7 linked regions of the Nothobranchius furzeri genome follow. The protein of the gene in region 3 purifies or fractionates together with the protein of the main gene of each other region. This does not show direct contact. Links are inferred from orthologs where the notes say so. Each region holds a gene or a part of one and is shown on either strand. Other genes may lie near its edges. The genes, in order: ccnd1, dusp1, skp2, ep300a, fbxw2, B-cadherin and e2f1.

Region 1 (4,190 bases), on a different chromosome or scaffold from region 3:
ATCTCATAACATCTCAATATTTCAATGAATCAGAATATGAATCTTAACAAGATTCCAAAGTAAAATGTGAAAGTGAGAGGTTCTGGTCAGAGCGACCCGGGACGCTTCACTCGCAGTCAGGAAAGTGTGTAAACTTCTGTTTTCATCATTGTACGTTTTTGTGAGTGTTTTGAGACTGTTGTTTTGAGATTGTCATCACATAAAGCACAATAAAATGTATTATTGTTATTAAATTTATTATGATGTGTTTCTGTTTGGAGTTGTGTTGTTTTCTTTACCCTGACAACAACAAAGTGAGCCTTGAGGACAGTGGCCAGAGAGGAGGCTCTATTCAGGCATTACGGTAGTGAATCCAGCAGCCAGAGAGGAATTCCAGGAATGCTCAAAGGCTCTGACTCAAATTGAAACTAGACTTGGATCTTCTGAGTTTACACAGCAGCTGTGTCCACGAACAAGTTGGTTCTGATCCAACAAGCTCTCTCACCACTAATATGTTCTACTGGCTGAATAAAGCAGCTCAAAGAGGAACATCTGTGTCTAAAGATCCAGTTCACACTTGGACTGGGTCAACCACCATCACCCAAAACAGGATTCTGCCTGGTAACAGCAGGTCCTCCCATTGGTCCAACCCCTGTGTGTGTGTGTGTGTGTGTGTGTGTGTGTGTGTGTGTGTGTGTGTGTGTGTGTGTGTGTGTGTGTGTGTGTGTGTGTGTGTGTGCGCGTGTGTGTGTGTGTGTGTGTGTGTGTGTGTGTGTGTGTGTGTGTGTGTGTGTGTGTGTGTGTGTGTGTGTGTGTGTGTGTGTGTGGATCTAGTAGGGTTAGGGTTCTGAATGGAGGTCTCATTTTAGTGATGTCACATGTTCTGGACCATGTGGTTCCTGCTGATCTGAACCCAGTAGGGCTCACAGGGAACCTAGCAGAATCCAGTAGAACCAAAACTCCACCAGTAGGTGTGAACTGAACAGAACCAGGGTCCTCTGTGGAACTCAGTACCAGAACTACAGAGTTGGACCAGTACTCGGTCTAGTTTTGGGTCGTGATAAGGTGAGATGAATGAGTTACTCCCCCCTCCTCCTTGTGTCCTCTGCTGTTCATTCACACCGAACCGAACCGGCAGCAGGACAAAGGGGGAGGGTCACTGCCGCCCCCTGCCGCCTGTTGGGCCCGGAGGCCCGGTCCCAGACCTCCCACCTCCTCCTAGGGCTAGAGGGAGGAGGGCTCTTCCTGCTCGCGCGCTTGCAGACCGCTTCTCTTTGATCTCACCTCCTCCCACCGCGGCCCCGCCCCTTAACAACAGCCTACGTCACCCGCCTTTACTTGTTCCCAAGCGAAAAAGCCGTTTGTGTGTGGGCGTACAGACACGCGCGCGCAGGGAGGTGCGCGCGGAGGTTTTGTTCGCCAGAGCGAGGCGGTCCGGACCTCAGAGGACTCGCGCACACCAGAGGGGCAGCAGCACACGGAGCAGCCCTGACACCGGGATTCAAAAATACCAGATAGAAAAGACACCGGGCCGGTTCTAGCAGGACACTTGTACCGAACCGGTTCTCTCTGTGTTCCGAGCCAAACCATGGATGAGCAGCTGCTGTGCTGCGAAGTGGACTCCATCCGGAGAGCCTACCAGGACGTGAACCTGTTGAATGACCGGGTCCTCCGAACCATGCTGCGGGCCGAGGAGAACTACCTGCCGGCTCCGAACTACTTCAAGTGCGTCCAAAAGGAAATAGCTCCTAAAATGAGGAAGATCCTAGCGACCTGGATGCTGGAGGTGAGTTTTGATTGTCCCTGGGAATGGTTCCGGTTCTGATCCGGCTGCCCCATCCAGCTCCGGTTTGGACCCGGTCTGGACTGCCGTACCGAAGGCAGTGAGGTCGAACCGATCCGGATTTACTCCAGAATTCACAGTAATGTACACGTATGCAGTCCGGCCCAGCAGGTCCGGACAGTGCGCCATCTTTGCCACCGACGAGATAGGATTTAAAGTCCGTTAAAACCAGTCAGACATCAGCCAGAACCGAGCCGGACCCACCAGGCTCCACAGAAACCAGACCAACTTCAGTTCCACTGGGTCTAAAACTGTCTTGGTTCCGAACGGCTCCGCTGAGGATGGCAGACCAAAAAAAAAAAACAGTTTTAAAGGATGAAAGGGTACCAAATGGGTCTGAAGGTTCGGCTCAGTGTCTCCGGTGTTCTCACGCGTCTGCAGAAAGACTCGGTCCTATTCTGGTCATTTTTATTCATTTTACAAGCTGCCTGGACCGGTCTGGTCCGGACCCGAACCGAGCACGCGAAGGAGCCTCGTGCCCAAACCCAACAGGTCCCGAGGGGCCGGTGTGTCCGAACGTACCGAGTTCTGGTGATTAAAGTGTGTGTGTGCGTGTGTGAGATAGAGAGAATGTGTGTGTGCGTGCGTGTGTGTGTGTGAGACAGTGCGTGTGTGGAGGACTCACCTGTCCGCTCCTCTCCCTTCAGGTGTGTGAGGAGCAGAAGTGTGAGGAGGAGGTCTTTCCTCTGGCCATGAACTACCTGGACCGGTTCCTGTCCGTGGAGTCCAGCAGGAAGAGCCGCCTGCAACTGCTGGGAGCCGCGTGCATGTTCCTGGCGTCCAAGATGAAGGAGACGGTTCCGTTAACGGCGGAGAAGCTCTGCATCTACACGGACAACTCGGTCCAGCCCGGAGAGCTGCTGGTAAGGGCTTTAGGACCGTGTGGGAGGCTGCTGCAGGCACACCAGCAGATCAGGTGTTTAGAAGAAGAAAAAGTTTCTCATTTAGCAAACATCAAGATAAAGAATCACGAGGCTCTTCACAAGAGCCAACAATAAATACTAATATAGAAAATAAAGTAAACAGGAGAGCCTGAGAGAGACAGAAACACCAGCATGAAAAGAAGCCAGTGAGGAAGAAGAGGAGATCAACCTCATCTTCATCACTAGCATCTTTTTTGAGGTGTCAAAAACCAGAACAAAGGTCACGTCACACTTCACCTGCAAGGTTGTCCTCTCCTCACGTGTGTCCATCCCACCAGAAGGTTGTGGGAGATGGAACAAATAGTGTTCTTCTGGAGCGTCTGACAGGCTTGTCTGGTGGTCTACACTGACCCCTAGTGGCCGAGAGGTGCAGCAGCAGGCAGACGCTGAGTTAACGTCTGATTGGTTGTTCTGGTCCACCCACAGCAGATGGAGCTGTTGGTTCTGAACAAGCTGAAGTGGGACCTGGCTTCAGTCACGCCTCATGACTTCATCGAGCACTTCCTGTCCAAACTGAAGATCCATTTGTCCACAAAGCAGATCCTCAGGAAACACGCCCAGACCTTCGTGGCTCTCTGTGCTACAGGTGGGTGCTGGACGTCAGGATTCAGGAGTGGATCCACACACACACGCACGCACGCACACACACACACACACACTAGTGTTGTCAAAAAAATCGATACCTAGATATAAATTGATACTAAAAGTGGTATCTAAATTAGATATTCCATCCCTGTGGTATCGATATTATGGACTATTATACACAGCCTTCTTCAAGTACACCAACACGCACGACAGCCAGATGCCGTAAAGAAGCCTCCGCCTCCCAGACAAACAGAAGAAGAAGATGCCGCATGGCTACATTGCAATTTCCCACGCGAGTTGTCTCCGATCCAAGTTTTGTCTGCCAAATAATAAACAAAAACATAAACAGCGAATTTGGGAGGCGCTTCACAGCCCAACTTCATTAGCATACCAAGTCCGACACGTAGTTGTATATTCACGCTTATGTGCTTAAAGGAAAACTCCCATTTATTGCAACCCGGACTTAATTTCTAGCATGCAGTACGTTTGTTTACTCACGCTGACAACTTTGGTGCTACTTGGATTCTCCGGGGTATTTAGATCCATCGGCAAATCGCCATCAGCGTATATCCATATAACGGGTGCGGACGGGCACCCATGGTGCAGCCTTGAAATAAGACATTATCTGCACCAAAACATCTCTATGTCGAAAGGTTTAGTTAGGAATCATTAACATGATTCCCCTGTTCGTTTGGAGCGGGTCTAGGATTTCTAGGCGTGAACAGACTAGCCGCGGCTAATCTAACCGGTGCTTTTAATTACGTCACTGCTGTGCGCCAATCTGTTTTTATTAAGATTACCGGTAGATGTACCTTTGTCCTACTGTGGAGAAATTCGTTTTCTCCCTTTATTGACCAACA
Region 2 (4,075 bases), on a different chromosome or scaffold from region 3:
TTATATAACACATATAAAGACAACTTTATTACAAGCAAAGTGCTGTAAAATTTGTGAAATATTCCCAAACAATTGCAGAATGAGCAATGAATGTGAGCTTCAAAACAATGAACCATCACCAAATAAATAAAGATAAAATAAAAATAAATCAACTGTCATTTGGGCCAGAAAACGTGAACTTCTGCACAACTGGAAGCCTGTGATAAAAGGATTTTAAATAATAATTAACAATAATAAATTTGCATGTTAGGTCTCCCCTGAATAGCTCTGCCATTTCTGTAGTACGGCGATAGGGATCTTTATTGGAACATGAATGGCCTGGGCACTCTTGGAATACTGGCATTCCTAGCTAAATAACACAAGTGGCCCTATATTGGAATTTTAATGAAAGATGTTTGCAGACCCCATTCCTCTTCATCCAAACCTAGAAAATATTTTATTCAAGTGGTGCAGTAAGGGATCAAATGTACGGTAACACTACTACTACCACTACCACTACTATTACTTATTATTATTATTGTATTAATATTACTATTATTAATTATAAAAATAGAGGCGTACATTCCAAAATGTTATCAATTTAGCAGTAATTTTCATAAACCACTTACAGGTGAAACTTAAGAAATTGGAATATGTTGCAAAAGTTAACTTATGTCAGTAACTCAACTATAAAGGTGAAACTAATATAGACTCACGTTTAAAGCCAGACATTTCAAGCTGCTATTTGTTATTATTGTGATGATTATGGAAACCCCACATTCAAAATCTCAGACATTGAGAATATTGTGTAAAGGTTCGATGTTCTAGACTCGGTGTTACACTCTAGTCAGATAATGAACACCTGAAAAGGGTTCCTGAGCCTTTAGATGGTCTCAGCCCAAGTTGAATAACTGAAACAAACTCATTTTTCATCTGTGAACACAGAAAGTACAAATACATATTATTTCCTATCAACATCAGAATTTTATAACATGTTTCAAACATAAATGAAGAATGAAGTCACTGAGCACCCACTGTAAACAGAACGTGACCCCGTACGTGCCGTACGTTGGATCGTTTGGAACGTGCATGTGCACGAGCTCTAATTGTTGTTATTTTCGCGCGCGCCAGCCCAACAGCAGTTTAACATTCACGATGACGTACACACCACTTCGTGGCCTGGCCCGAAGCCAAGTAGGGCGGAGCTCTGACGTTGACGCACGTTCTCACCGTCAGGTTGGTACGAAGTTCGCCTCGCGCCGACTATATAAGGTGGCTCCTGAACCGTCTCGAACAGAAGTTACTTTCTGTAAAGAAGAAATTTAAGATAGGCATCGAGAAGGACTAGTACCACCGGACACACTAGCGTGAACGAAAGGACTTACTGAGATTGTCTTAAAACTCGATATATTTATTTTCTGTTGTTTTTTCTTTTCTTTTCGAAACAAGCTACCAGGAACAAAGGACACGCGGCGCGAACAGACTGAGATCTTTTCATCCAACAAGTCACACTTGAGTACCCCTGCCTTTGATCCTTTTATGCATTTGGATTTGACTTCTACATCCCGCTGTTCTACTATGGTCATCATGGAGGTTCCCACCATCAGCTGCGCGTCCCTCCATGGTCTGTTGGACGGAGACGCGCCGGGCTGCCTGGTGCTGGACTGCCGCTCCTTCCTCTCCTTTAACTCGTCCCACATATCGGGCTCCACCAACGTGCGCTTTAGCACCATAGTTCGCCGCAGAGCCAGGGGCGCCTTGGGACTCGAGCACATTGCGCTCAACGAGGAGACCAGGAACCGGCTCCTGTCAGGGGAGTACCAGTCCGTGGTGCTGCTGGACGACCGGAGCACGGACTTCGGACAGGTGAAGAAGGACGCCACGCTGATGCTTGCTGTTACGGCCCTGTGTCGCAACCCCTGCGGGGTCTGCCTGTTTCTCCTGAACGGTGAGAATCATTTTAGAAAGTTTTCACTCATAAGTCACACCGCTTGGCCTGGAGAGGCAAACAAACGCGGCTGTCACCAGCCACGCTCCGTGAATAGTTGTCCTCATTAATGGACACCAATGTAGCCGATTGCTGTCCTGTAATCTGACCCGGATGTTCTGTCTTTTTTAGGTGGATTTGAAAAATTTTCCTCCCAGTATCCAGAGATGTGTACCAAGCCGTGCCCTCCTCAAGGTCTGAGCTTGTCTCTGAGCTCCAGACAACCAGAGAGTGCAGACTCCACCAGCAGTCCTTGCAACACGCCTCTGTATGACCAGGTTTGTGTTTTTATTTGTTTACGTCCTCAAACCTGCCACCAACCACGCAATCTTTATGTTGTTTACTTCCTTCTGCATTGTTTTTGAAAAGTGTTTTTGTTGCTGTTCAGGGAGGTCCTGTGGAGATCTTGCCTTTCCTGTACCTCGGCAGCGCCTACCACGCTTCCAGGAAGGACATGCTGGACATGCTGGGGATCACTGCCCTGATCAACGTCTCTGCCAACTGTCCCAACCACTTTGAGGATTCCTTTCTCTACAAGAGCATCCCTGTGGAGGACAACCACAAAGCAGACATCAGCTCCTGGTTCAATGAGGCGATCGAGTTTATCGGTGAGCACGCACAAAACAAATACACAAACAGCTTTTTCACCCAACAGAATGTAGGCGCCGACCACAGCTGCTGCCATTCAGTCTGTTGATTGTGAGCAAAACAAACGCCCAACCCCCATCTTCCTTCATGTCTTTCTTTGCCTCCAGGATTTAAATTTTTTTAAAAGTTCCCTCCAAAACCCAACCAGCTGGCTCCATGAAGGCCCCCTGCTTTCATGACAAAGGTGGTTACATCATCACCGCCACCTCTGAGGCATTGAAAGAGGGATGCCCCCCTCATTTTTTTAAACTGAATTGCAAGACAGCAGCCCTGAACTGTTTAGTAGTCGTTTTTGTGGCTGTGCCTGAATAGCTCCCCCTTTACAAGTTTTTGTTTGGGTCGAACAAAAGGCAATTTCTCTCCACTCACAGTCACCCTTCCTGCCACTTCAGTCCCCCCAGCAGGGGTCTGTTCCCTCCTTTTGTCCTTTCATTACACCTCCTTTGGGAATAACCCCCATTGGTTCACACCCTGCTCAGCTATTAACTGTTCCTGCGTCCTGATGAGCACCTTTAAAAAGGAAATGGCAAAGGGCTTTTATGTGTTGTTTCCTGTGGAAAGTTCCAACTCTGTTTTGTTTGTTCACCTTGTTTACATCGCTCTAATCATGCCCTCTCCTCCTTCCTCCAGACTCTGTGAAAAGTAAAGGAGGCCGTGTGTTTGTGCATTGTCAAGCAGGCATCTCCCGATCCGCCACCATCTGCCTCGCATACCTCATGCGTACCAACCGCGTAAAGCTCGACGAGGCCTTCGAGTTTGTCAAGCAGCGCCGCAGCATCATTTCACCCAACTTCAGCTTCATGGGTCAGCTCCTTCAGTTCGAGTCCCAGGTCCTGGCCTCCTCCACTTGCTCCTCGGTGGCGGGCAGCCCGGCCATCGGCAACAGCAGCACGGTGTTCAACTTCCCCGTGCACACGTCTACAGCTCCGCACTCCTTCCTCCACAGTCCCATCACAACCTCTCCTAGCTGCTGATGGGAGTATTTGGACTTAGTAACTCATAATCCACAGTGATGCTGGTGTCACTGGACAGTGAATGGTTGGGTGTGTGTGTGAGTTGTTGGTAACTCCTTTTGTCAGTTGGCCTTGTCATTTCAATGGTAGATGTGACATTCACCATGAGACCGTTTTGATCTTTAACTTCCATAATGTGAACCTATTTCCAGGAAGCTTTTGGGAGACGATCCTGTTTGGGGAAATCGTTTTTTATTTAAAGGGACTGATTGTTGTTGGAATTTTGATGAAGGCTTCAGATAATCACAATCAGAAACACAACAGAGAGGCTATCGGTTATCTCAGGAAATGTTTACATAACCTCTCCAATGTCCTTTTTGCTTTTGGCACATGCAAAGAAAGCAACAGAAACCCAACATGACGTGGATCATGTGAAGCTGATGGAATGTAACCCCCCCCCCTTTTTTTTTTTGTTTCTATGTGTCATAAACCTTTCTGCTCATCTGTA
Region 3 (4,020 bases):
ACGAGCTGCGTTCGAGCATCGCTGGTCCAGACGAGCTGCGTTCGAGTGTCGCCGGTCCAGACGAGCTGCGTTCGAGCGTTGCCGATTCAGACGAGCTGCGTTTGAGCGTCGCCAGTCCAGACGAGCTGCGTTTGAGCGTCGCTGGTTCAGACGAGCTGCATTCGAGCGTCGCCGGTTCAGACAAGCTGCGTTCGAGCGTCGCTGGTCCAGACGAGCTGCGTTCGAGCGTGTCGCTGGTCCAGACGAGCTGCGTTCGAGCGTCGCTGGTCCAGACGAGCTGCGTTCGAGCGAGTCGCTGGTCCAGACGAGCTGCGTTCGAGCGTCGCTGGTCCAGACGAGCTGCGTTCGAACGTCGCTGGTCCAGACGAGCTGCATTGGAGCGTCGCCGGTCCAGACAAGCTGTGTTCAAGTGTCGCCGGTTCAGACGAGCTGCGTTCGAGCGCGTCGCTGGTCCAGACGAGCTGCATTGGAGCGTCGCCGGTCCAGATGAGCTGTGTTCAAGTGTCGCCGGTTCAGACGAGCTGCGTTCGAGCGTCGCTGGTCCAGACGAGCTGCGTTCGAGCGAGTCGCTGGTCCAGACGAGCTGCGTTCGAGCGTCGCTGGTCCAGACGAGCTGCGTTCGAACGTCGCTGGTCCAGACGAGCTGCATTGGAGCGTCGCCGGTCCAGACAAGCTGTGTTCAAGTGTCGCCGGTTCAGACGAGCTGCGTTCGAGCGCGTCGCTGGTCCAGACGAGCTGCATTGGAGCGTCGCCGGTCCAGATGAGCTGTGTTCAAGCGTCGCTGGTTCAGATGAGCTGCGTTCGAGCGCGTCGCCGGTTCAGATGAGCTGCGTTCGAGCGCGTCGCCGGTTCAGATGGACTTATTTCCACTACTGTTGGTGGTGTCGGGGGGGCTCATGAGTATGTCCTCCAGTGGATAATACTGGAACTGGTTGAACTGGGAAAGCTGGCCTCGCTGTGACCCTACGTGAGGGATTTTCATGTCTGAAACAACCAGAACCAATCAGACCAAATCCTGACCCGGTACAAGTCAGACCTGATGATGCTGTTGGAGAGCTGCAGACCCTCCAGGCTCAGGTGGTGCAGCAGCCTGCAGCGACCCAAAATGTTCTGGAGAGTCGAGGTCGGGATGATAGAGCTGGACAGGTCCAACTCAACGATCTGCAGCGGGCTGGAAGGACAGAACAGAACCCATTATCAGGGGGGTTCTACCTGCTGCTGGGACCGGACCCCAATCCGGGCTGTCGGACTCACCGAGAGTCGGTCAGGTATTGTTCCTCTACAAAAGCTCGAGGGCAGCGCAGCCGGCGGACCCCGGTCCTCAGAACCTGTTGCAGAGCCGGGCCCACGTGGGTCAGCCCCTCCAGGTCCACGCTGTACCACAGAGACTCATCGGACCTGAAACACACAGATTACCTCAGAACCGGATCCTGATCCCCTCCAGCCCAAAGGTCACCTGCATGTCTCTGCTGCTCCGCCCAAAGCCCCACTGATGGAAACTCAAATGAAATACGAGGAGAAACAGAACGGAAGCGGACTTCCGGCGTTGCCATGGAAACACATAAACTAAATAAACGCCTCCAGGAAGACGGCTCTAATCAAACAGCCGGTGCTCTGTTCTAGTTCTCTGTAGTGCTCGTTGGCATGAATGAATAATTCTTGCTCCATCTGGGGGAAGATGCTCACTTATCTAGCATCCATTAACAGGGTCTGCCCGCAGACGCACGAGAACTTGACCTGAGCATCGTTGGTGTTAGCGACAAATCCTCGAGTGAACAGGTGCGATTGGTCAAGCAGGGACTTATCAGGGACCCCCTGGAGAAGCCCCGACCCTAACCACAGCTGGGTTTTCTGAGTGTGTGTGTGTGTGTGCGGTCCAGCAGGATCTCTTACGCCAAACGCTGCCAGCGCCTACTGACTCCAGAAATCCTCAGCAGGTCATGCAAGGGGAGGCAAGAGTAGATCCTCAGGAGCAGCTCCTCAGGTAGATGATCCAATGAAACACCTGAGGAGAGAAACCAGCCAATCAGAGAGGTTTAAGGTTTCTGAAGGCAGCCAGATGGAAGCGTGGGGGGGTGGGGGGGTTTCTCCTACCTGACTTGGAGCTTTTCCTCCTCCGGGACCTCCGGGCCAGCACAAACTCGTTCTCTTTGCCCCTGGGGAGGAGCAGTGGGACCTTGAGAGGCGGTGGTCTCTGCTGGATGGACTCTGTGGGGGTGCACTCAGAGTCCGGACCCTCAGCCAGGCAGGTCCGGGACCGTTTGTTCCGGAGGCTGGAGCAGGGCAGGTGCATCAGGGTCCGGCTGCAGGTGGACAAGATGGGTCTGATCAGCCAGAACCGGACCTTCATCCTGAGGAAGACTCTCCCCACCCCCACCCCCCCGCCCCCAGCCCGCCATCAGGATGATGACAGGTCGCGCAAAGTCCCACCGCTAGAACCACTGGGAGAGCTGCTTTTAAACACCATTAAAAATAATCTGCATAAAATGATCAAACCAGCAGTTTAGAAAGGAAACCCCAGTAGTCCGACATCAGATTAAGTGATCCGTTTATTTAACTGGATTATTTTAATCGGATCATCGACTTGTTTCATTTTCTTGGTTTAAATAAGCGAATAAGACAGAAAACAGGAACTAAATGTAGTTAAGCATCAAACCTGTGTTGAGACATCCTTCCGCTTCAGATTAATAACCCTAATCCGGGAAAATGCACTTCTAATCCTCGCGTTTCTCTCTTTACTCTCCAAACTGGACTCTTTAAACGCGCCACCAACTCACACGCGCCTTGTTTTTACTACGTAAAAAGACGTGACGTCATCACGCACCGGCTTCACCGCCCCCTAGCGCCTGGGAGTAGAAATGTTCTGGTTTTTAATAATTTAATAAGCAAAGCAGCAACCAGACACACCAAAATATGACCAAATCAACCAAACATATCATTATCGGCTTATTTATAGTCATTTTACTTAATAGTGGAGCAGCTGATGCTATAATATTAGTCCCACAACCCCCTGCATGGGTTGCACATCCTTCCCAATGTTAAGAGACCGTCTACATAATTATCAGAAATGGGTAAAACAAATACGTGTTCTTTTGAATCTAGTGAAAGCTGCCTTAAATGTCCCCATCTTCGAGGCCTCACCTGCAGTGTGTGAAAATGTTTTAATACACAAGGTGTTCGACTCTAGCGCCCTTATTTCTGGTGCCAGACGCACTCGTTTATTTTCAGTTTGTGCTTGTGATCCTCTCTTTCTCGGAGATGGTGGTCGATCATTTCATTTATTTATTTATTCGGGACAGTGCGCATTAATAACAATCACATACGTTGTATCCATTGTAAAGAGGCCAGATTATAGCACAATTGCTAATTTACATCTGCAGTTCCTCAACAGGATGACTAAATAAAACAATTTACAATGTACAAATGAAAAACAGTCAGATACAAAAACATAGAAATATAAACAAAAAACAAACAAGCAAGTTACTACAAGTCCAAACATGTCTGGGTTTAGTTTGAGGTTCTATCTAGTGGTGGGAATTCCGGCTCTTTTTCGAGAGCCGGTACTTTTGGCTCAGCTCACCAAAAAGAGCCGGCTCTTTCGGCTCCCAAGTGGCTCCTCAGATTTTCTGTTGCGTAGAATACATTTATAACCAAAATAATGCTAAACTACCGTATATGTAAAATAATTTACTAATGTTAAAAAAGCAATATGTCAAATGTTTATAATTTCTATGGATTTAATAACTGAACACTAAGAAATCTCCACTTTCCGACTGCTGGCGCTCATTTTCTCACCGTCTTCGTCGCACTCTCCTCCCTCTCGCTCGCCTTTTTCGTCCTCCTCATTGCCTCTTGTCTCCCTCCACCCGCAGGTGCTCTGCTGTGTGTCTGTCTGAGTCTGATCCTCCCTCTTCCCCGCCCCTACTGCTCTGTGTGTGGACAGTCTGGACATGCAGTTACACATGTTAACCAGTCACCTGTAGCTTTCACCAAGGCGGGGGGGGGGGGGGGGGTTACGGC
Region 4 (3,500 bases), on a different chromosome or scaffold from region 3:
CAGGTGCTCCCATGGGCAGAGGCGGTGTGGACCTCTGAGCCATAGATTGCATCCCCATCTGATTGAACTGGTTCATACCTAAGAAGATAGCCAGAGCATCATGAGGATTGAGGAGCGCACCATTCTTGCTAAATTGGGAATCGGTGTTTCATCATTGATGACTGAGATCACAGTTCTCTTTAAATTACACCCACATTAATAACAAGTTGTCTGGACTGCACATTCAAGAAAGAAATTACTAATAAAAACCAACACTTATTTACTTTAGACCTCTTACATGTTATCACTTCAAATGCACAGACTGATAATAAACTAAACACCGAGTGTGTGTTCTTCCTGCCCAGTAGCAACACCTCTGATCACGATTAAGATTTCAGGCGTGTTTAATGTCCATCCTGAACCTCACAGTGTTTAGCATCGTTCTCAGCATTTCTTCACCTGACGGTGTGATCGTCTTCTTTCCTGTCATTTATGTATTTAGCGGACGCTTTTGTCCAAAGCCACTTACAGTGTGATCTGTTAATTCAGGTGCTGGTGCAGGAGATAGGTGTAGGAGACTATTTTCATGTTCAGCCTGCATGAAAACCCGAGTGATTGATTATCAGAAATAATCACTAAAAATGTTTTTTCAGTGAACCACACCTTTAATTATACTTGCCTAATAGGCTTTTTTGAGTTTCTGTAAAAAGACAAAAAGGTTCAACTGTCGACAGCTGGTCAGGGTAAGCACTGAAGGATGGAGACACCTTCATGAATTAAAATGCTAAATTCCTACTAGTGTAGCTGTCATTATGAATATTACTTATTACTTAAATATAATTTCTATTTATTCGTATCCTTTGAATTTTCATCAGTAAGAATATTATTTGGACAATGATGAATTATACAGTTGCTAAGTAGAACAGGAATCACAGAGTGGTGTAGTTGATTAAATATTAAAATGGCTTGCAGTACAGGCTTGTTGTATTCAGATTTGGGGGAAACGTAGAACAACACAATATGAACCGTTGTTCACTGGATTGTTCTAATATTACTGTTAAATCAGTTCAGTCACTAACGCGAGTCAAACCGGTTAGTCCTTGCAACCCTACTGCAGCTGCAGTCACCTCTTTGTGAATTTCCCCCGGATTATTGAATGGATTTTGAAAATAAATAAACATTTGAAAAATATCCGTCTGTGTGTAATAAATTAATCTAACAACTTTTACTTCTTGAATGGAATTACTGAAATAAATCATCTTTGTCACGTGCTGCTCATGTGTAGGTGAATTTAATCATACAGTTTGGTTGGACCCACACAAAATAGATTAATTTCTGAAGAATCTACAGAGGATTATGCTGTACCTGAGACATTATTATTGTCTAAGCAATATTTAACATAGAAGAACAAACTGCCTCATTTTGACGCCAACTTTTCTGATTTTAACAGTTGAGGTAAAGTATTGGGATACACCAGGTTTGGGACATCATTTATAAAACTTTGCAAAGAATACTTACTCTACTTTAGACTAGCACTACTTTAAGCACGGCTCCACTCTGTTTCTGCTTTAAAAATCACAGCTGTCCAACAAATGTGCTCAGGTGTTTGTCGACTACATCCTGCCTCTACACACCCACTCTCTAATAATAAATGGACAATGTAAGCTGCATGATGAATTTTGTGCATATAAATAAACATGCTTATTGACAGGATGTCACAGGTAACCATGACAACCAAGATGGAAATCCAGGCTCTGGGGCGTGATGTAGGCACAAAAAAAATTGTTTTATTCCCTTCGAGTGGCTCTGCGCTGCTACAGCGGTGAGCTGTGGAGCCGCAGAGCAATCAGTGAATATCAATAATTAAATAAATGAAAGCATTTTAAAAAGTGGTCAGATGAGATGGCAATAATCATTGATACTATCAATAAAAGCAGCACTATGGTGTGCAGGGAGGGATCGCTGTCTTTTCCAGATGTAACAGGAACATTTAATGAAAACATTTCAGGCGAGACTAGGTTGTTTTGGCTTACGTTTAGCACCCCCTAGTGTCCTTTTGTGGAATCGAAAGCAAAACCTATCTCCTCGCTGTGCGTTCGTCTTTTTAACACCTTAATCTAACAACAAACATCTCCCCAGCCTTCCTCAGTGTCTACAGGAGTGGTTCATCACTAAATCAAACAAATCACTTGTGCTCCTGATCTAAAACATACTGGAACCAGGCTGCAGCGACAGGTATGTAAGCTCAAATTTTTTCTAAGTCCAGCAGACCGGACTGGCACTCTGAAGTTGCAAATGTGAAATTCTGGCCACAGAGGGCGGTGGGGGTCTGAGTGACATTTCATTAACCCTATTAAGGGTAATTTTAGCACATACTGGCTCAAGAAAATGCAAATAAATAATTATTGATTGTTATTTGTTAATAAAAAATATTGGGTTGCACAGTACGCAGGGTTTCCCCCAGCGCTGTATAAGCCTGGCGGCCAGCCAGGCTAAGCGTCATGCCCCGCCCCCCTCCCCGACCCTACCGTGTCCGCTGACACGAACGGCGCAACGAAACTAGAGCCCTCCATCAGCTGATACTGGTGAGAAACAGCAGGGGAACGTGTGCAACCATCAACTCATCAAGCGAATGCCAAGAGTGTGCAAAGCAGTAATCAGAGCAAAGGGTGGCAGTTTTGAAGGAAATAGAACATAAAACATGTTTTCAGTTATTTTACCTTTTTGGGCTAAGTACATAACTCCACATCTCCCAATGTAAATGGTCATGAAAATAAAGACAACACATTGAATGAGACAGGTGTGTCCAAACTTTTGGCCTTTAATGTATGTGGCAGAGGATATTTCTGAATTTCAGGAAAGAACCGCCCTCACCACTTTTTTAAAAAATGCACATGAGAGAGAACGCCCAGTTATCCTCGTGCACGCTCTGTTTACGCTGCCGGTCTTGCGGGGGGGGGGGGGGGGGGGGGGGGGGTTCCACCAAATGTAGGAGTGGGTGGGGGGCCCCACCGTGACAGTGCCAGAATGCCAGTCCACCCCCGTGTCCGACCAGTAAACAGATTCTGATCAGTAATAATTAGCAAGATACTTGCTTTGAGGTTGAAATAAACTAGAATGAAAATTGTTTCAGATTTAAAATCTGCTATTGTTAGAGTAAATTAGTTTTGTTGTAGCGATGGTGAGTTCACAGACTTGAAGACAATCATTCCAGCTTGGCAAATGCTGTGTTTATTCCTTCATTATTTATTTATTCATTCATCAAAACAACTACAGAATTTGTAATCGGCCTGATTAAGCTGATCATGCTGTTTATGGGCAGGTTCTGATCAGCAGCTGAGTTTTTGGAGCATTTCTAGAACAATAGTCTTAAGTTCAGAACAGATTCTGTACCTGGGCCTGGCATCCTGGGAACCATCGGATTGGGTCCAGGAGGACGCACCATTGACGGGTCAGGGAGTGGGCCGTCTAAACCGGACAGACAGACAGAAAAACACTCATCAGTGAACACAACAAGAAAG
Region 5 (2,488 bases), about 36 Mb from region 3:
GTGAGTTTACATACACCAAGCATTCAGTCAGATTAAATAGGTTGAGCATGCGCAGAGTTGTCTTTCCCGGGAAAAAATAGTAAACAAACGTCATCTTCTCCGCACGTCTTTCCCCTCGCATTTTATTTTCTAGCTTTGTCGGCTGACTGTTTTTTTTTCTCCCGTTATGGACCGTCTTCGCATTTTTACCTGTATGCTTTTGTTTGACTGATCACTTTAACTAAGCTGCAGGCTCAGCGGTTCGTAACGCTACTGCTCCTCCGCCACAGGAGAGGAGAGCAGGACAGTTTCTGTTTACCTCCCACCATGTTTTCCACTTGTCCTGAGCGGATGCAAACACATCACGGCGAAGTTGTACACTTGCACAGAGGGAATTATTTTACTCCAGGAAACTAAATGAGTGGGTACATGGACGTCAGTCAGATTGATGATCGGACAAAACCACCTCTCTGGGCCATATTGGATCAGAATATTCTGACTGACAAGTTTACATGAAGAAATTTAGATCTGACAGGGCGTTCATTCCAATTCCTTGTGCCCGTGTAAACGTAGCTACTGTGATCTGCTATCACCCAAATGTGATGTGAATGACTGAGTCAGAGCGGTTTTAGTGTCGGTTAATAATAACTAGCGGTGGCTGACATCTTGGATCTGGTTGGCTCTAACAGTTAACCAGCTGTAGATGTTCAACCAATGATAATGCAGACAATAACGGTGTTTCCACTGACCTGCGCCGGTGTGCCCACGGAACTGCTGGATCTTAGCACCTGTACTCCACTCCCAGCATGCAACAGTATTGTCAAACGACCCCGTCACAAGCTTCTGTTCATCAAACTTCACTGTGGCGCATGTGTGTGTCTGAATTCCATAAATGCACTGTCCAGTGCGTACATCCCATAATTTGGCAGAAAGGTCATCAGAGCCTGAAAGAGAAGGAGAAACACAGTGAGATGTTCTAGAGAGAAGAACCTGCGTGCTGCAAAACGTTTACAGGTTAAACACCTGTGCAGAGCAGGCCGTCCTTATAGTAGAGGGCATACACTCGGGCGCTATGGCCGATGAGTGATGATGTCACAAAAGCCTCCTGGTCCTTCAGCTGCATCATGCGCAGTTTAGCCTTCAGGTAGACCCCCTTCCAGTGTGCTGCATCCTGGATGGACTCGTCGGTTTTCCAACCCAGCTCCCGGCACACACCCTGCCACACCTCTGTACACGAGTTTATCACCTAGAGAACACACACGCACGCGCACGCAAACGCACACACAGCTTAGTAAAAATCAAACATTCTACCTCTGATGTGCTAGGGTAGCTACTGTAACCATCACTGACTCATTAAGTCACCATGGTAACCACCATGGCTAATCAGTCCCCATGGTAGAAATATAGATATATGATGAGGTAAAGACAGAACAGAAAAAAGAGAAAGTGCTGATTTATTGTGAAGTCTCCATATTCCATAGTACTCCCCAACTCCGGTCCTATGGTTTTTATACTGTGTGTCTCTGTTGCGCATGTGCAATGGAAATGAAGGGTATTACAATTTCATTAATGACCAGAGATATTAATGATCCATACCTGGGGCATGGGTCCCATCTCTGGACACTGGGCTTTCTTAAATCAGAAGAGTTCTTTTTATTACAGGGAAATTTAAATTAAACACTTTGCATGAACTGAGAGACAAGAGAAGAGAGAGAGACCTCGGAACGTTTAAGAAAAATTTATTATCTAAATTATTTTAAACAATTAACAGGACTAACTCTCTAGTGATGGATGTGAATGGAATGGAATGAGGTGGAGTGTGTGTTGGTGCGATGTCAGTTCAGAACCTCCGTCTGGAGAAGCGAGTCTGAGTGGGAGATGATGTTTTGCTCCTAACTGATCGACGTTTGAACTTTAGTCAGGAAAGACATGAGACGCTATCTGGTGCCGTTCTACATTACCCGTCAGGGACTCCCGTGTTAGATCAGGCTGCCAGGTCCTCGGACCCTCCTCTGGTGCTGGAGCCGATGAAACAGCGTCGACAAACCAGTCTATGGATAGTCTCCAGGTAAAAACGTCAGATGTTTCACAGAATCAAAGGGAGCCCCCTTTGGGTCAGCGAGTTCCGCTTTTATTCTGAAGGAACCGTTGTTTTGTTGGTAACAACGACAGGATTTTCCAGCTTGACAGTTCTCAGCTTAAAAGTAAAACGTACAGATGGCCAGTCCGTACTTCACTTAGCGATGATGGACATCAGATGATCGAGAGCTGGCTGAATACTGAACTCAAAATGGCGTTGTTCTGTTTTATTAATCTTGGTTGTTTACGATTCTGGACGAATCGCAGCGGACAGATTAAATAAACACCACAGAGACTCTGCCACGCTTCAGAATGAAGGTTCTGATTGGATGAGTAAACAATGTGTCATGTGTTGACATTACGTGGATCAGGACGTCGAGTGCAGTTAGACCAAAGTCATATTGCTCATTAAACATATTAATCATAACAT
Region 6 (4,233 bases), on a different chromosome or scaffold from region 3:
ACAGCGGTAATGCTAAGTATCTGCCCATGTTAGGTCTAGATCGTGATTACAGCGTGCATGTGCAATCACTCAGAAAAACAGATCATCACTAGGAGACAAAAGCACGAAGCTGCAGATCGATTATCTGAGATGCTCCCAGGTTTTAACTGGAGTCATGGAGAAATGGCATCATCACTAGTTCCGATGTTATTCCTGGATCTAAGGGAAGTCCCAAGTCCAGGAGTGAAGCTAATAGGGGAATTATGGATTATATATCTGAGGAATGTGGCCGATGGAAGCATCCACTAGTGACATCAGCTTCATGTCCGACATGGAACATGATGAGCTCTTCTCATTTGTCTCCTTCGTTCTTCATCCTGTGACTCAAAAATCAATGTCAGCAAGTCAGACAGATGTATCAATAAATAAAAAGGCACTCAGAGGGAGAAGAGTGGGCTTGCTGGAGAGAGTTTGTTTCTGTCTGATGCAACGTCCACCCAGACGGAGTTTCGGTTGTCCAACTGCAGCACAAATGAAGACAAACACAAGGAAAGATCTGGTTTAACTGGGTTTACGTGTGGAAACGAATACTGAGGGTATTCTGAATAAGTTCCTTTTGGCCCTTTAAGTGATTTGGTTTTTAAAAAGGGAACATGAAACTTCAGCTACTGTTTTTCAGAGACGTGTCCGTAGCTTCAGAGATCACACGTCAGTCACTTCCTCACACATTCATATAAACACCAGCTGGTCTGGTGTGTGGCGCCGATGATGCTAAATCTAAATGTTCAGTCTCATTTTAATTTACAGCAACGTCAACAGACAGAAATGAGATATTTAACCAAATATTCAGCAAACACACTAATACTTCAGACTCCTCCAGAATAAGAGCGGTGTGAGCAGGTCCCCTTCCTCAGATCCACTGTTATGGTAAAATCATATCAGTACGTTTAATTATGGATGATGAATCCATGTGCAGGTGTAGGCCAGATGTTCTAAACAGACAGGAGGTCCTCACCCTGCCGGGTTCTCCAGGTGTCTGAATTTGAGTTTAGTTCAACTTTTATCTTAAAGCCACTTTTGTGTTTAGTTTTAAATATTTAGATTTAAGTTTCTATACTTTGATTTATTTTCATCTAGATTTACATTTAAAGACTCAGAAGAAACATTTTAATTTCCTTAAAATACTGGAAGAAGTGACTATTTTGCAATCGAGACTTCAGCAAGATTTAGCAGTGTGTGTGCGTGTGCTTGTGTGTGTGTGTGTGTGTGTGTGTGTGTGTGTGTGTGTGTGTGTGTGTGTGCGTGTGTGTGTGTGTGTGTGTGTGTGTGTGTGTGTGCGTGCTTGAAAGAGAGACAGAGAGACATAGACAGCGAGAGAGTCAGAGAGACAGACACACACAGAGAGAGAGAGAGAGAGAGAGAGAGAGAGAGAGAGAGAGAGAGAGAGAGAGAGAGAGAGAGAGAGAGAGAGAGAGAGAGAGACTTACTCCCTGTGGATGTCTAATTGTTTTCTGTTTCTGACTGCTGAGATGTTCGTAATGAAACTCCTGGTTTCTACCTTCTCAGGTGTTCGGTCTCCATGACCATATGAGGAACCCGGAACTGGCGCACCTGTGAGCTGACGTCACACGCTGAAAGTACCTGCTGTGGGTCACCGAGCAGAAACAGAGTGAAACTCGAGGAAGAAGCTACGGACGGGATTTATTAGGGATTACGCCTAAAGTGACGTGGGATTTTAGTTCTTTGGTCGGTTTTTCTTCGCGGGGAGAGTCGACTAAAGCTCGGACACACACATGGCTACCGCTCGGGTCGCCGTTTGCTGCCTTTTATTCGTGTTTCAGGTAAAACTTCCTGATTTCCTCGAGGCGCAGTTGGATTTTACTGAGACTGAAGCTGTTGGGCTGAGTCCACAGAAACCTTTCTAACCTTATTTAGGTGTTTAAATAAGGATGTTTATTAATGAGCTTTTATTGGGATTTTTTCATGTTTTTAGCACAAACTTGTGTTTCAATTGAAAACATTTTAACGGCCGCTAAAGCCGCCAGGTTAACTTGGTTAAATGAAACTACTCGTTAGTTTTACTGGTTCAGGTCGGCCTCGCCCTCCTTCCGGCGACTGCAGGTAAAATTCTAACTGAGGGTTAGGGTTAACGTAGCAAACTAAGCGGTGGTTAGTCACGTTGGTGACCAACTAGGTGGGAAGGGTAACTAGCAGGCTTGGATGTCCTAGAAGAAGAAAAGATCTTCTGATGAAGATGAAGCGCCTCTCAAATCACGAGGTGCTTCACAAAAACAAAAATATAAAAAAATTAGAAAATGGTTAAAAATATATTTAAAGTAAGCAAAAAAAGACAATTGTGATTAAAAATGTAAAGAAAGAGAGTGAATAGAAAAGAGGGAAATCAGTGGATCCTGAGGAAGGTGGAATAGGTGGGGAGAGCAGAATAGAGTGGTGAAGAAGGTCATAAAAAAGCTACTTTGAACAAGTGAGTCTTCAGCTGCTTTTTAAAGGAGACCACTGAGTCCACTGATCTCAGGCTCAGGGGGAGAGAGTTCCAGAGCGGATGTTCTGTCACCTTTGACCTTTAGCCTGGTGCGTTGCACAACCAGTAGGCTTTGGTCACTGGACCTCAGGAACCTGCTGGGGGTGTAGGGACTAAGAAGATCACCAATGTAAGATGGTGCTTGTCCATGTAAGGCCCTATAGACCAGAACCAGGATCTTGAAATGAACCCTGAAGTTGACTGGCAGCCAGTGAAGCTGGAGGAGAAGCGGGGTGATGTGGGTGTGTTTGGAGGACTTGGTCAGAAGCCGAGCACAGGCATTCTGAACCACCTGTAGACGGTTCAGGGAGGTTCTGCTCAGACACGTGAAAAGAGAGTTACAGTAGTCTAAGCGTGAGGAGATGAAGGACTGGATAACTGTCTCAAGTTCAGACCGGGACAGAATGGGACTCAGCCTAGCAATGTTCCTGAGATGGAAGAAGGAAGAGCGAACAACAGAACTGACATGAGAATCCAGGGTGAGAGCTGGGTCAAAGGTCACGCCAAGATTCCTGACAGGGTTTGGTGTGGGAAGCAGGCTGACCAAGAGATTCTCTGACTTTGGGAACCAGCTTGTCTGGGGCACAGATGGGGATCTCAGTCTTATCTTCATTCAGCTGTAGAAAGCTCCCAGCCATCCAGGTTTTGATAGAGTCTAAGCAGGTGTGTAACAGCTGCAGCTTAGACATCTCATGGGGCTTAAAGGAGATGTACAGTTGGATGTCATCTGCATCCTAACTAGTAAACCGGCTGGAGCTGGGGTCTGATTTAAATATTAGCTGAACTCAATAATAAAACTTAATAGTCTTGCATGAATATAGAATTAATAAGTTTAACCCTCTCAGGCTCAAAATAGGTGTTGCTAAAAGGACGAACAACTAAGCCCATCAGGGGTAAATGCTCATGAAATACTAGGTGGGTAGGTTTAACACCTGCCTCCAGAGGGTTAACTGTTGATCTGTTTGGTGTTTGAGGTAAAGAGATAAGAATAAAACCAACGTTGTTTCTCTGCATGTGAAGTAAATCGTTTCCCTTTATGCTTGTTTTGAATTCCGTATTTTGGGAAAATGGAAAACTGGATTCAGTCTGAAAATGATTTAATGTTAAACAGTTTTAAACGTAAATCAATGGAGCTACTAACCCATAAAGCATCATTTTGTTTAGACTTGTTTTCTGAGGCAGGTCTGATCACGCTCTTCTCTCCTAGGCCTCGGGCCTGCTGGCAGCTGAGGAGTCAACATGTGTTCCAGGATTCAAGTCTGACTTTTTAATATTCAAAGTCAGCAGAAAACACCTGAATCGAGGCACACGGCTGGGCAAAGGTACGAGTGATCATGACACTCCGTAATGCTTCACATTCCTGAAGGGTTTCCACTGCTGGGAGTCTCTTCATATGGAAAAGGTTCATTAACATCCAAGCTTGTGCTAAAAAGCTGCATTTGGTTGTGTGAAAGCAGCCTGAAGGGCTTCAGGTCTCAGCTTGCACTCGGCTCCACACCCCAGGTAATGCGCTCACCTTCAGGTCCAAACAATGTCCCCGAGCCTGTTCCACCGGCTTTGCTTTGCAAAGGCTGTTGGGAGCTGCACTTAAGGGGGTTGGGCTTTTTACCTTTAATAATAATAATAATAATACATTTTATTTCAAAGCGCCTTTCAGGACACCCAAGGTCACTTTACACAAAACACGCAATAAAATACAATAAAACAATAAT
Region 7 (3,500 bases), on a different chromosome or scaffold from region 3:
CGAGTTAAAAGTTTTCTGGCTTTACTAAAATACCTGTCTGTACTTATTTGATTGATGGTATTTTTACTTTCTATTAGACTCCAAATGTAATCATTTGGCACGTTTCTAATTCATAATTTGTAAGAATGTAATCGGTGATATTAGCATTAGCATTCCTATGGGTTTTTCCACGTATATTAGCATTGCGCTAACCACTCGCTGCCAAATTGCAGCCTTTGAGATTAGAAAATCTCCTTTTGTCACATCGCAATTTAATTGCACATGCAGTTAATCATTCAGCCCTAATATACATGCATCTCTATGCTAAAAGTGTATTTTCAAAGAGGTAATGATGGATTTCTTTGTAAAAGTTGTCCATCTTTCCAATAGAAAGATTTGCCTGGACCAACGTAACGTGATAACAACGTAACGTGATAACAACGTAACGTGATAACAACGTAACGTGATTACGTAATTCTGTAAGGTTCATGTTCAGCCAATCAACTACTTAGACGTCATCAGCAGTTGACGGACCCCGAACCAATTTTGCACCCGAGCAGATCTTGTACCGACACACAGCTGCTCAGTGGGAGGAGAAAGCTCGTCCGTCCGTCCGTCCGTCCGTCCGTCCGTCCGTCCGTCTGTCTGTGTGTGTGTGTGTGTGTGTCCCACAGGAGCAGAGAACAGTTTTATGAGAACACACAGCAAATGAATAAAATGACGTGGTTCAGACCTCAAAAACAACACAACTCATGCCCTCCTCTGTTCATCTTATCATGGATCCCGGACTTTCCCGCACGTCTTGAACACCGCCCGTGAACTCGGGGATTTCTGCATTTCTGAGAACACTACGTGAACACTCCCCGACCGTACGGCCCTTAATGTGTAAGTGTCATTAGGGAAGATACCCGAGGGAAGGGGTCAGTGTTCTGTCACCGCCTAGCTTGTTCTCTTAATTCGCTAAAGCAGCTTTAATCTGACGGAGACTTTTTATGTTTTCAAAGGATTGTTATGTTGGACTGTGGATGAAAGACTCGTGAACAAACCATCTTATTGGAGGACTTTTATTAGACCCTCAACCTTGCTGCACAGAACCAATAATGGTTTTTCCATGAAGGCTGCGAGGTGGAGCAGTGGTTAGAGCTGTTGCCTTGCAGCGAGAAGGTCCTGGGTTCGCTTCCTGGCCTGGGGTCTTTCTGCATGGAGTTTGCATGTTCTCCCTGTGCATGCGTGGGTTCTCTCCGGGTGCTCCGGCTTCCTCCCACAGTCCAATTGGTCTGTCTAAATTGTCCTTAGGTGTGAGTGTGTGTGATTGTTTGTCCTGTGTGTCTCTGTGTTGTCCTGCCATGGACTGGCTCTCTGTCAGGGGTGTACCCCGCCTGATTGCCCATTGACTGCTGCCCCCCCCCCCCCACACACACACACACACACACACACAACCCTGTGAGGACAAAGCGGGTTCAGAAAATGGATGGATGAATTTTTCCATGAGAAAAACAGACTCTGCACAGATTTCTACGGATTCTTGCTTCCCCAGCTGTTATATATAATGGTCACTTGTCTTGCCTAACCAGTGGAGTCAGAAAGAAGGACGAACAGGACTTAAATGTTCTAGTTACCCACCCGTGTCGCCACCTACGCCCAGCGATGAAGCTTCCTGCTGGGATGTAGCCGTTACTGTGGACGAAGTGGAAGCCGGCGATGACGCAACCACATCTTGGGCTGTTGTGCACGTTCTGGACTGCTCTGCGGTGTGCGATGGAGACGGCACTCGGGATGAATCTGGGTTGGTTTTCAAGGGACTGCTTCCTGTCACAGGGCTGCAGACGCCAGAGCTGTCCTCTGGACAGAGGAAGACGTCAATCGGACCCTGCGTGCTCTTGAGCGACACCTCGTAACCCTGAGAGGCAGACACGCCGCGTTGTCAGGACAAAACCACACAAACTGAAACGTTACAGGTGCTTAAAAAAAGGGTTCAATTATATGACTGAGGCCTTCACCTGGCTGGGTTCTGAAACTTGCATCTGGGTTTCTGGTGGAGCTCGGATCACCATGACCAGCTGGTCCGGCGAGTCGAACGATTTCCTCAGGTCCTGGCAGCGCACGTAACCCAGCGTGAAGACAGAAGTTAAGGGAGAAGATGTTCAAGCCACACGTTGCTTTACTCACTAGCGGTGCTGGATTAGAGGTTTAATGTGAGGACTAATTTAAATGAATCAACATCTGCAGCCTGCGGTCCAACTGGGCGCCGCCGAAGCTACAGACCAGAGCTCACCGCTGCAGCTGCAGCCAGGGGACCCGGTTCTGGTTCAAGGATATTTCTTGTTCTGTGGGTCCTCTGTGAGCAGCCTGAGCTGCAGGGTGCATTTGGAAATGAGCTCATCCAGCTGCTCCTCGGCCTCCGTAAGGTCACACACCTCCCCCTGCAGCCGTTTGTGCCGGGAAACCAGGTTGGCGTCGATCCGATTGCCGCTGCCAGGGGAAAAAAGGCGAGGACCCTTGTTAAACGTTTGTTCCAACAGACACAACGAGGTTTTCATCCTTGCCGTAAGACGGCTTTATGCTCACAGCCACTGGATGTTGTTCTTGGACTTCTTGGAGATGAGCTGGATTCCCTCCAGGACGTTTGTGATGTCATAGATGCGCCGTTTCTGGACGTCCAGAACCTGCGAAGCCCAGTTCAGATCCACCACGCCGTCGGCCGACTGAGATAGCAGGTTCAGAAAGCGCTTGGTGGTCAGGTTTAAGGACGTGTCGTAACGCGACTTCTCTGATGCGTTTCGAGGAACTGCGTAGAAAAAAAATAACACATTTAGGCTCCTACGTGTGCGGGCTCGTTTAGATGCAAGACGACTTCAACAGATCCGACGGCCAGTTTCACCAAAAACAGGTCGCTTTGCAGGATTGTTGCTGCACGGCGAGCTTTCTGCTCACAACAGCAGAACGGTTTGCAGAAATATAAACAGAACAGGAGTTCTCATCCTGCTTACACATGTACGGATAAAGATGCAGCAAGTCTCTGCTTTTGCTCTAGTGCTAACAGGCTGCACAGAGGTCAACATTACAGGCAAGCTGAAGGAGGAACAGCGCCTCACTCTTCAGAACAGGAAGATTGTTGCCTCATCCTGTTTGATCTGAAGGAAACAGACGATGAAAACACCCAACTGGAATAAAAACTGAGCACAAATGTGACTTTCTCCTTTTATATCATGTGCTTTAAAATTTACATCTAACACACTTCCTACTTCCTTAAAGGGACATTATGGAAGTCTGACAGCCAAAACATGTATAGAAATAATAAATGTCTTCTTCATACATTCTCCTGCAATGCCCTGGTCCTGTAGAATGAGCCCTGGCATTTTTACTGTGATTGCCTGTTTTTCTGTAAAATCACAGAAAAAGAGAGATGCTCGGGTCGAGCAGGCTGCTTCATGCGCGTTCACGCTCAGGCATCGCCCGTAGCGTTTGCTATCCGTAGCTTTAGCAGCAGAGAGAGAGGTAGTGCCACTTTGTCGCTGTTC

The links.
Region 1: the proteins of skp2 (region 3) and ccnd1 purify together in Homo sapiens (affinity purification with western blotting; 3 studies listed by BioGRID, with this or other methods). This does not show direct contact. The link is inferred for Nothobranchius furzeri from reciprocal best matches to the Homo sapiens genes SKP2 and CCND1.
Region 2: the proteins of skp2 (region 3) and dusp1 purify together in Homo sapiens (affinity purification with western blotting; 3 studies listed by BioGRID and IntAct, with this or other methods). This does not show direct contact. The link is inferred for Nothobranchius furzeri from reciprocal best matches to the Homo sapiens genes SKP2 and DUSP1.
Region 4: the proteins of skp2 (region 3) and ep300a purify together in Homo sapiens (affinity purification with western blotting; 3 studies listed by BioGRID and IntAct, with this or other methods). This does not show direct contact. The link is inferred for Nothobranchius furzeri from reciprocal best matches to the Homo sapiens genes SKP2 and EP300.
Region 5: the proteins of skp2 (region 3) and fbxw2 purify together in Homo sapiens (affinity purification with western blotting; 4 studies listed by BioGRID). This does not show direct contact. The link is inferred for Nothobranchius furzeri from reciprocal best matches to the Homo sapiens genes SKP2 and FBXW2.
Region 6: the proteins of skp2 (region 3) and B-cadherin purify together in Homo sapiens (affinity purification with western blotting; 3 studies listed by BioGRID and IntAct, with this or other methods). This does not show direct contact. The link is inferred for Nothobranchius furzeri from reciprocal best matches to the Homo sapiens genes SKP2 and CDH1.
Region 7: the proteins of skp2 (region 3) and e2f1 purify together in Homo sapiens (affinity purification with western blotting; 6 studies listed by BioGRID). This does not show direct contact. The link is inferred for Nothobranchius furzeri from reciprocal best matches to the Homo sapiens genes SKP2 and E2F1.

What each region holds. Positions count from the first base shown.
Region 1 is NC_091749.1:21,576,225-21,580,414, forward strand, and holds the start of ccnd1 (G1/S-specific cyclin-D1), read left to right. Parts: upstream 1-1,390; 5' UTR 1,391-1,567; coding exon 1,568-1,765; intron 1,766-2,469; coding exon 2,470-2,685; intron 2,686-3,171; coding exon 3,172-3,331; intron 3,332-4,190. UniProt on the Homo sapiens protein: Regulatory component of the cyclin D1-CDK4 (DC) complex that phosphorylates and inhibits members of the retinoblastoma (RB) protein family including RB1 and regulates the cell-cycle during G(1)/S transition.
Region 2 is NC_091741.1:101,791,696-101,795,770, reverse strand, and holds the start of dusp1 (dual specificity protein phosphatase 1), read left to right. Parts: upstream 1-1,275; 5' UTR 1,276-1,518; coding exon 1,519-1,927; intron 1,928-2,098; coding exon 2,099-2,244; intron 2,245-2,354; coding exon 2,355-2,574; intron 2,575-3,244; coding exon 3,245-3,588; 3' UTR 3,589-4,075. UniProt on the Homo sapiens protein: Dual specificity phosphatase that dephosphorylates MAP kinase MAPK1/ERK2 on both 'Thr-183' and 'Tyr-185', regulating its activity during the meiotic cell cycle.
Region 3 is NC_091746.1:70,421,682-70,425,701, forward strand, and holds the start of skp2 (S-phase kinase-associated protein 2), read right to left. Parts: upstream 2,801-4,020; 5' UTR 2,671-2,800; coding exon 2,657-2,670; intron 2,304-2,656; coding exon 2,095-2,303; intron 2,006-2,094; coding exon 1,894-2,005; intron 1,399-1,893; coding exon 1,255-1,398; intron 1,172-1,254; coding exon 1,037-1,171; intron 1-1,036. UniProt on the Homo sapiens protein: Substrate recognition component of a SCF (SKP1-CUL1-F-box protein) E3 ubiquitin-protein ligase complex which mediates the ubiquitination and subsequent proteasomal degradation of target proteins involved in cell cycle progression, signal transduction and transcription.
Region 4 is NC_091756.1:27,967,268-27,970,767, forward strand, and holds part of ep300a (histone acetyltransferase p300), read right to left. Parts: intron 3,448-3,500; coding exon 3,373-3,447; intron 79-3,372; coding exon 1-78. UniProt on the Homo sapiens protein: Functions as a histone acetyltransferase and regulates transcription via chromatin remodeling. Acetylates all four core histones in nucleosomes. Histone acetylation gives an epigenetic tag for transcriptional activation.
Region 5 is NC_091746.1:34,116,504-34,118,991, forward strand, and holds part of fbxw2 (F-box/WD repeat-containing protein 2), read right to left. Parts: intron 1,226-2,488; coding exon 1,003-1,225; intron 924-1,002; coding exon 729-923; intron 1-728. UniProt on the Homo sapiens protein: Substrate-recognition component of the SCF (SKP1-CUL1-F-box protein)-type E3 ubiquitin ligase complex.
Region 6 is NW_027223037.1:4,205,727-4,209,959, forward strand, and holds the start of B-cadherin, read left to right. Parts: upstream 1-1,433; 5' UTR 1,434-1,772; coding exon 1,773-1,820; intron 1,821-3,728; coding exon 3,729-3,843; intron 3,844-4,233.
Region 7 is NC_091755.1:51,400,806-51,404,305, reverse strand, and holds part of e2f1 (transcription factor E2F1), read right to left. Parts: intron 2,768-3,500; coding exon 2,548-2,767; intron 2,452-2,547; coding exon 2,299-2,451; intron 2,095-2,298; coding exon 1,980-2,094; intron 1,880-1,979; coding exon 1,603-1,879; intron 1-1,602. UniProt on the Homo sapiens protein: Transcription activator that binds DNA cooperatively with DP proteins through the E2 recognition site, 5'-TTTC[CG]CGC-3' found in the promoter region of a number of genes whose products are involved in cell cycle regulation or in DNA replication.